Oryctolagus cuniculus: one gene and its partner. The protein of the gene in region 1 purifies or fractionates together with the protein of each later gene. This does not show direct contact. Links are inferred from orthologs where the notes say so. Each region holds a gene or a part of one and is shown on either strand. Other genes may lie near its edges. The genes, in order: OBSL1 and CAMKK2.

Region 1 (4,232 bases):
GAAAGATGGCAGGAAGGGGCTGAGATCAGATCTGTCTCTGGAGTCCCTTGATCTACCTGGCACATACCTCCCGAATGCCTCCCACAAGCCAAGCACTCTACGTCACTGCCTCATGTGATCCTGAGGGGTAGGTGTGACTGCCCATTTTACAGATCTGGAGACAGAGGCTTGGGCCCATTGTTGCAAAGCTGGCTGAGCGGCAGGGCTGGGCTTGAATCCCAGGTCTGCCGGGCCCCCAAGCCCATGCAGTCCTCCTGGGCTGTTTCCTGAGGTCACCCTGCCAGTTCCCACCCAGTTACCTGCGGCCGGGAAAAGGATGGCCTGGGAGACATCCTCTTCCTCTGGCTCTGAGCCCCTGTGCAGGAAGCCTCCTGGGGCATGTCTTCGGGGCAGCCGCCGTACTCCAGGAGCTCCACCTGCCCCGCTCACCGCCGGAGGTCCCAAGGCGTCCAGGAACAGGGTCCTCACCTTGGCCAAGACAAGCTCCCGGTCGAGCTCCGGCCCGAGGCAGCCATGCCCGCCCTGCGCGGCCAGCAGCAAGAGGAGCAGCTGGGGCACCATAGCTCACCTGGCCCTGCGAATGGGGGACTCACACCCTCCCTGCGCTCCTTCTGTCAGGGTCTGCCCGGAGTCTCCCTGCTCTCCCTCCCCATCTCCCCACCCGCCCTCTTCTACCTTTCTCACCCCAGGCTTGCCCAGGCCTTCCCACGCCCTGCAGTCCGTAGTGCCCCTGTCCATGGCACTGAGACCTCCTATCTCTGACGCAGATGTCTGCGGCCCTGAGCCTTATCTCCCACTCCCGCCAAGAATGCGGGGTAGGGGGCTGGGGAGGGTTTTCACCCCAAGTGACCTGACCACCCCACACACATACACACACAAACATACCATCTCTCTCTCTCATACACACATACACAAAGTGTGTGTGTGTGTGTGTGTGTGTCACATCCTAGCACAGTAGGACATCGGTAGGACAGGAGCCTGAAACCTGGGGTCAGCCAGCCCCTTAAGAGTGTCATTTGCCAGGGACACAATACACCAGCCCCGGCTCCTCTGGGGCCCCTTTCAAACAAGCAACTGCTGGGGGCCAGCTGTGGGGGGAGGGCTGGGGCAGGGGGCAGGTGGTCCCGCCTGCTCTATACTTAGCCTGGAGAAGCCGGCCTGGACTCTTGTCCTCCAGCTGTGTCATCAGAGAATATTTTTGGGACTGGCAGCTGCAGGCGCCTCTGCCACTCAGGGCCAAGCCTGGCGGGTGGCTGGGGACCTGGCGGCTGGAGGTGGGAGGGAGGAGGGGAAAGGGGCCCAGGCTGTGGGAGGGGGCTGGGAACAGAGCAGGAAGCCAGGCCGCGGGCCGAGGAGGCAGCGGGGCCCCTTGCTGGAAAGGCAAACAGGAAGGACTGCCCCCTGAGCTCGGGGCTCTGGCTAGGGACTCGCCGCCGCCGCCGCCGCGGCAGAGCTGCAGCTGCGGGCCCAGGGTAAGCTGGCGAGCAGGAGCGGGCGGCCCGGGCAGAGTTGGGAGGGTCCCCGCACCCGGGGCTCCTCGCTCGCCGCCTCCGGGGCGTCCGCCGCCCTCTCTTCCTCCGCCGCTGCGGGCTAGTCTGCAGCCGCCGGGATGAAGGCGGGCTCGGGGGATCAGGGGAGCCCCCCGTGCTTCCTGCGCTTTCCGCGGCCCGTGCGGGTGGTGAGCGGCGCCGAGGCCGAACTCAAGTGCGTGGTCCTGGGGGAGCCGCCGCCCACTGTCGTGTGGGAGAAGGGCGGCCAGCAGCTGGCGGCCTCCGAGCGCCTGAGCTTCCCGGCGGACGGCGCCGAGCACGGCCTGCTGCTGAGCGGCGCGCTACCCACCGACGCCGGGGTCTACGTGTGCCGCGCCCGCAATGCCGCCGGCGAGGCCTACGCCGCGGCCGCCGTCACTGTGCTGGAGCCGCCCGCGCCCGAGCCCGAGCCGCCGCTCGCCGAGCGCCCGCTGCCGTCGCCGGGGACCGGGGAGGGCGCCCCGGTGTTCCTGACGGGGCCCCGATCCCAGTGGGTGTTGCGGGGGGCGGAGGTGGTGCTGACTTGCCAGGTGGGGGGCCTTCCCGAGCCCACGTTGTACTGGGAGAAGGACGGGATGGCCCTGGACGAAGTGTGGGACAGCAGCCACTTCGTGCTGGAGCGGGGCTGCGCCGAGGGTGGTCAGGGCGCGAGCCTGGCACTGCGCATCCTGGCGGCGCGGCTGCCGGACTCGGGCGTCTACGTGTGCCACGCCCGCAACGCGCACGGCCACGCGCAGGCCGGCGCGCTGCTCCAAGTGCACCAGCCCCCGGAGAGCCCTCCTCCGGAGGGAGCCGACGAGGAGCCCGCGCCCGTGGTGGAGCCGCTTAAGTGCGCGCCCAAGACCTTCTGGGTGAACGAGGGCAAGCACGCCAAGTTCCGCTGCTACGTGATGGGCAAGCCCGAGCCCGAGATCGAGTGGCACTGGGAGGGCCGCCCCCTGCTCCCGGACCGCCGCCGCCTCATGTACCGCGACCGCGACGGCGGCTTTGTGCTCAAGGTGCTCTACTGCCAGGCCAAAGACCGCGGGCTGTACGTCTGCGCGGCGCGCAACTCGGCGGGCCAGACGCTCAGCGCCGTGCAGCTGCACGTCAAAGGTAGCGCCTGGAGGGGGGGGGGGCGTCCGGGGCCTGGCCGGGCGTCTCTAGCGCCCCCACCGGGGGAGGGAAGCCCGCAGTAGCAAGAGGACTCCGTACCCTGCCCGCCTCCCACCCCCTCCAGGGACTCGGATTTGGGAGGTCTCCAGGGCACTGGGAAGTCTTAGCGAAATTCCAAGTGATTCCGAAGCAGATGGTGAAAACCACTAAGAGAAGGTTGACGTGCCAAACTTGAGGACCTACCGTTCTCCAACCTTGTTATTTTCCTCCTTCCCCAACTGAGTTCCCATCGTGCTTCTCACCATAGACAGAGGAAAGCATTTTGGGGGTGCGAGTCCCGCATCCTAGCGGATGACACCCTCGGGCTGGCACCCAAACAAGCGTGGGGCCCCTGGGCTGCAGTGGTGGCCTCGCTGGCACAGTTGGGTGCGCACGGCACCAAGCCTCAGGTCCCTCTTCGGGGAGAGGGGGAGGAAGAAGCCCCATGGGAAGGCGAGAGAAACTTCCCAGGGCTGCACACACAGCTTCACCCTCTGGTTATTGCCAACATCTTGTGTTTTTACATTTGACCTTCAGTTGCGAACCTGATGAAAATACCTTAAAAACGAAGTTGAACTCAGAGGCCCTTGCGGAATCTCTGAGGAACCTCCTAGAGGCCTCAGCGGGGGAAGAGTTTGAAAATCACTGATCCGGTCCAGCCCTTCCCCTCCCTTCCCCTCCCTTCCCCTCATTTTCTAGGCCAGGCTGTCCCCCTTGCATTCCCACACGAGCAAGGAAACTGAGGTCATGTCAGGATCAGATGAGAATTGAGGCTCTCTGCCTTCCCTGCCCGTGGCTTTGCGGGGATTCCGCAGTGCCTGCTGGCCCTGGGAAGAGAACAAACAGCAGAGGCTGATGTGTGTTCAGGAGTACCGCCGCCCCCCGCCCTGTCCGGTCCTTCTCCGTCTCCAGCGCCTTCTCCGTCGTCTCTCCCCTGCCTGCAGAGCCCCGCCTCCGCTTCGCAAGACCGCTGCAGGATGTGGAGGGCCGGGAGCATGGGATTGCGGTGTTGGAGTGTAAAGTCCCCAACTCCCGCATCCCCACGGCTTGGTTCCGCGAGGACCAGCGGCTGCTGCCCTGCCGCAAGTACGAGCAGATCGAGGAGGGCACGGTGCGCCGCCTCATCATCCACAGGCTGAAAGCGGATGACGACGGCGTGTACCTGTGCGAGATGCGGGGCCGGGTGCGCACGGTGGCCAACGTGACGGTCAAAGGTCAGCTGGCCGGCTGCGGGGGTGTGAGGAGGCCGAGGCGGGCAGGCGCCCAGACACGGAGCTGATGGATGTTCTCCCTTTGCGCATCTCAGGGCCCATCCTGAAGCGGCTGCCCCGGAAACTCGACGTCCTGGAGGGCGAGAACGCGGTGCTGCTGGTGGAGACGAGAGAGGCTGGGGTGGAGGGGCGCTGGAGCCGCGATGGGGAGGAGCTGCCAGCCACCTGCCAGAGCAGCTGTGGCCACATGCATGCCCTCGTACTTCCGGGGGTCACCCGGGAAGATGCTGGCGAGGTCACCTTCAGTCTGGGCAACTCCCGGACCACCACTCTGCTCAGAGTCAAATGTGAGGGCAGG
Region 2 (4,354 bases), on another chromosome or scaffold:
AAAAAAAAAAAAAACTGGTTATTACCATTTCTGTTACTTGCTCTACATTCATTTATAAGCAAAGGGAATAAAACGTTAGTGTTCCTTATGCCCCCTGTCGGAGTCTCTGTCCCGGCTTCCTGCTCATGAATTCAGGGTGCACTCATTCCCTTTGACTTTTTAAACAACTCGGATGTAAGCTTGGGTCCTGGGCAACACATTCCGAGAGGGTTGTAAAACACACACGAGCAGGGGCCCAGCTTTGTGGTGCAGTGGGTTAAGCCCCTGCCTGCCATGCCAGCCTCCCACATGGGCGCTGGTTCAGGTGCAGGCTGCTCCAGCTCTCTGCTAATGGCCTGGAAAAACAGCGGGGGTGGTCCAACTGCCTGGACCCCTGCACCCACGTGCGCGACCTGGATGAAGCTCCTGGCTCCATTGCAGCCACTTGGGGAGTGAACCGATGTGTGGAAGATTCTCTCGGGTGCGCATGTGTGTGCCTGCCTCTCTCTAACTCTGCTTTTCAAATAAATAAATAAATCAAAAAAAAAAAAAAAAAAAAAAAACTGCCCAGAGATTGCGCAGCGCCCTGTGCTCCGCACCTTGCTCTTCCCTCCACGCGGGGCTCTGCGAGTTCCTGGTGTTGGACAAACAACGGTAACGCACCCCCTTCCACGAGGTGGAGCAGACCACTGGAGGAGTGGAACAGGTTTTGTGTCTCCCTCTGCAGACGGCCATCGCAGAGGGCCTCCCAGACTCGGAAAGTGGGGGGGGGGGGCATCTCCCCGGAATCCACAGAAGCGGGCCGGGGATCCGCCCAGCGCGCGAGGAGCCTTCGAAGCTGGGGGCCCTGCGGCCTCCCCCAGCTCCCGAGTCCCGAGGGGCTGCACGGCAGGGCCGGGAAGAGCGGCCTGGGGTCGCTGTCCGCCCGGGACAGGTCTCCGGGCGCCCCCGGGGCCACGCGTCAGACAACTCGTGCGCTCTGGTCCGGCTCCCCGCCCCACCCCTCGCGGTACCGCTACCCAGCCTGTCCAAGCTTCTGGGCGGTCTCCTGCGAAAGTCAGAACTCGGGCGGCTTCCGGGCAGCCTGCCGCATCCAGGCGCGGTGGGGGTGGGAGGCGCACTCCTTCCGCAGCCTCCGGGGCCGGCCCTGCGCAGCGGGTCGGCCGCGAACGCGGGTGGGGGACCCGAAACCTGGGGCGGGACTTAGCCAGCCCAGCGAACTTTCTGAGACTCAGGCGCCGCCCTGCGTTTGGCTAAAACAAAGCGAGCGCCGCCCGCCCGCCCGCCCGCGGAGGAGCACCCGGCAGGTGCGCGCCGAGAGCCGCGGGACGGGCGGGTGCAAAGCGCAGCGCGGCCTCCGGCGCTCCGGCACCCGCCCCGGAGCCCGCGGCCGCGCCTCACTTCCCCTGCCCGCCCCTGCGCCTTGGCCGCGGCCCCGTCGCGCCGGCGCCCGCTTCCCCTCCCCGCCCCGGCGCGGGGCCGAGCCGGCGGGGGCGCGCAGGGAGCGGCGCGTGGCGGGCGCGGGCGGTGCCGCGCCCGGGCTCCCAGCGGCCGCGGCCAATCCCCGCGCAGCCCGAGGCGGCGCCGCGCCCGAGCCGGGCCCCGCGGCTCCGCCCGCCCCCGCCCGCACCGCGGAGAGCAGCGCGCGGCCGCCGAGCGAGCCCCGCCGAGCGGAGCCGGGGGCGCAACGCGCGGGAGGCGGCGGCGCGGAGCCCAGGTGAGCTGGCGGGAGCCGGGCGGGGGCCGGGGCCACCGCCGCAGCAGCAGCCCCCGGGCGCCGTCGCCGTTGCCCTCTCGAGGCGAGGGGGCCGCCGCCGGGGTTGCAGACAGAGCCCCGGGGGCCCCCTCCGCGGAGGGGACCCCACGTGCAGCACCCCACGCCCCGCCACGTGGAGGGATGCGGCCCCCCGCGCCCCTTCCCCGCGTCCGCCTCGGGGCCTCGGGGTGGCCTCGTCGGCTGGGCCGCTACCGGCCTGGGTGGCGGGGGGCGGGCGCAGAGTTTGGAACCGGTGTCGCGGGGCGGCCGGGGCTGTGGAGGGTCTCGGAGGCGGCGTAGGCCCAGCCCCCTCGCGGTTGTCAGGCGGGGGAACTTGGAGCGCGCGGGGGAGGTGGGGCCCGCGGACTTGGCGCGTCCCCTCGCGCGCTGGTCTGGGGCAAACCCAGGCCCCGGCCGCCTGGACACCGGGTGGCAGGACCGCAGAGCAGCGAGGGTGGGGACCTCGGCCGCTTCGCAGGGCACGGTCTGCCCCTGACCACCGCCGCCGCAGGTCCGAAGCCTTGGTCCTTTTGACCTAAATTTGCCTGGGCTGCAGCAGGCGGGGAATGCGGAGAGGAGCCTTACCCTGGCACCTTGCGCCTGACTCCGGGATGCTGGGCCCAGCCCCTCTCGGCGCGGGGTCCTGGGCCCCGGGGCGCCGCCCGGCTTGGGCAGCGGGGTGTTGCCCAGCGCCCAGCCTCTCCGCGGCGGAGGCCGAGGGATGGAGCTTGGGTGGGGACTTGTCAGTGCCAGCCGCGAGACGGGGGCGCCCCGGGCTCGGGTGGGACGCGCGGCGGCCGCCTCCCTGGAGGCAACTTTCGCCCTTCAGCTGAGACAGCCGCCCTGGCGATGGAAACTTGAGGTGCCTTGGAGCTGCGTGGTGTTTACCACTCCCCCGCCGCTGGCTCTGCCAGGGCGGCGCGCCCTGGGTCCCCCTGGCTCCTTTGTTCCTTGAAGAGGCGGGGGTCTGCTGCAGCCAGGCGGGGTGGGGGTGGGAGAGGGGAGGCCCTAGGGATGGGAGCTCCAACCGCCTCACCAAAAAACACACTTTGGGAGTAAACTGTGCCTGCTGGGCAGACGCAGCGTCAGATGGCTGCTCCAGCCCCTTCCTGTAGGAGTGCAGGCGTCGGTGATGAGGGTGCTCGGCGCATTTTTGTAATAAAGAATAATAGGCGTCATCGGGCGAGCTCCTAACTTGGGCAATAATAACGTTAATAACCGGCACTTATTCCTGCTCTGCCCCGAGGCTGTGCTGTGTGGTGCGCGCATCATCTCACACTTAACGCCTACCAGAATCCTGCGCAGATGGGGAGGAGATGGAGGATGGCACTCTTGGTGGCTAGGATTTAGTCCCGGTTTGGAGACGGGCTCAGAGAGGTTGAGTGACTTTCCCGGGGTCGCACAGCCGGGTGCGACTGGGTGTGTGGCGGGGCCGAGAGCCTTTTTGGCCTCACCGCTGGCAGCTTCTTGAGCCCGTGGTTGTCTCCCAGGGGCACAGAGCTCCGCGGGCCCTTTGCAGGTGTCAGGGGCCGATGTAGCCCCTACTACCTAGGCTGTTATTCTTGGCAGGGGGCTGTCTCCCACCCACCCAGGAGCATTTGGACAATGTGGGGGCAGCTTCTGGTGCCTGGGTGGTGCTGAGCACCCTGGCTTGTGGCCGTGCAGAGTTGCCGCATCCCACACGCCCTGTGGTGCCCCCACCGGGAAGCACCACCAGGGATAAAAGTTGTGGGAACGGAGGGGGCAGAGGACCTTGGAAGTTCTGGGGAAATCCCTTCCTTTGGGAGTAAATCCCGGATGCTTCCTGAGGGAGGTGTCGCTTGTGCTGGGCCTTGGGGGGAGGTTGGATGGGAGGGGGAGGGGGAGGGCATGGGGGGGGGGCTAAGCCTGGATGGGAGATGCCCCTGTGAGGGGTAGCGAGGAACGGTTGGGGCGGGGGCACGCCTGCTTCCAGGGCGTTTTAGATTTTAACCTGGACCAGAGCCGGCCTTCCCCTGCTGCGACCCCGTGTCACGGAAGGGCTTGGAGAGGCTGCCTCCCCTCCGAGCTGCTGCCCGAGGGAAGCGGGCAGACCACTGCCCACTTCCGCCGAGGCAGACCACTGCCCACTTCCGCCGAGGCACAGGGCCTGGTCCTGCTGTTTGTCTCTGAAGCTCCGTCTTCCCACCAGTGGCTCCCCTTCGGACGAGGCTGCGGGTTGGCTGTGCTGGCTCCGCCCTCCCGTCCATGGGTCGAGGAGGCTGCGTTGCTATGCTAGAATTGGCCTTTCTTCTTTCCATCTGTGCTCTTCGCTTACTCAGTTGTTAATGGACATTCACACGCGCTTATAAAATCCACGTAACACCAACCTAAACATCTAACACTTTATTTATTGACAGGGAGAGAGATCGAGCTTGCATCTACTGATTCACTCCCCAAACCCTGCAGAAACTGGGGCTGAGCCAGGCCAAAGCCAGGAGCCAGGAACTCCATCCAGGTCTCCCACATGGGTGGCAGGGGCCCAGGCACCAAAGCCATCGTGGCCGCCTCCCTGGTGTCCATCAGCGGACGGGGTGGAAGTGGAGCCAGGAGCTTGCTTAACTTTTTTTTTTTTTTTTTTTTTTTGACAGGCAGAGTGGA

What was found.
Region 2: the proteins of OBSL1 (region 1) and CAMKK2 purify together in Homo sapiens (affinity purification with mass spectrometry; 4 studies listed by BioGRID and IntAct, with this or other methods). This does not show direct contact. The link is inferred for Oryctolagus cuniculus from reciprocal best matches to the Homo sapiens genes OBSL1 and CAMKK2.

What each region holds. Positions count from the first base shown.
Region 1 is NC_091434.1:19,956,192-19,960,423, forward strand, and holds the start of OBSL1 (obscurin-like protein 1), read left to right. Parts: upstream 1-1,339; 5' UTR 1,340-1,609; coding exon 1,610-2,624; intron 2,625-3,607; coding exon 3,608-3,877; intron 3,878-3,969; coding exon 3,970-4,221; intron 4,222-4,232. Other genes in the region: INHA (inhibin alpha chain precursor), read right to left, coding at 300-561. UniProt on the Homo sapiens protein: Core component of the 3M complex, a complex required to regulate microtubule dynamics and genome integrity. It is unclear how the 3M complex regulates microtubules, it could act by controlling the level of a microtubule stabilizer.
Region 2 is NC_091452.1:7,644,969-7,649,322, forward strand, and holds the start of CAMKK2 (calcium/calmodulin-dependent protein kinase kinase 2), read left to right. Parts: upstream 1-1,550; 5' UTR 1,551-1,696; intron 1,697-2,109; exon of another isoform or gene 2,110-2,246; intron 2,247-4,354. UniProt on the Homo sapiens protein: Calcium/calmodulin-dependent protein kinase belonging to a proposed calcium-triggered signaling cascade involved in a number of cellular processes. Isoform 1, isoform 2 and isoform 3 phosphorylate CAMK1 and CAMK4. Isoform 3 phosphorylates CAMK1D.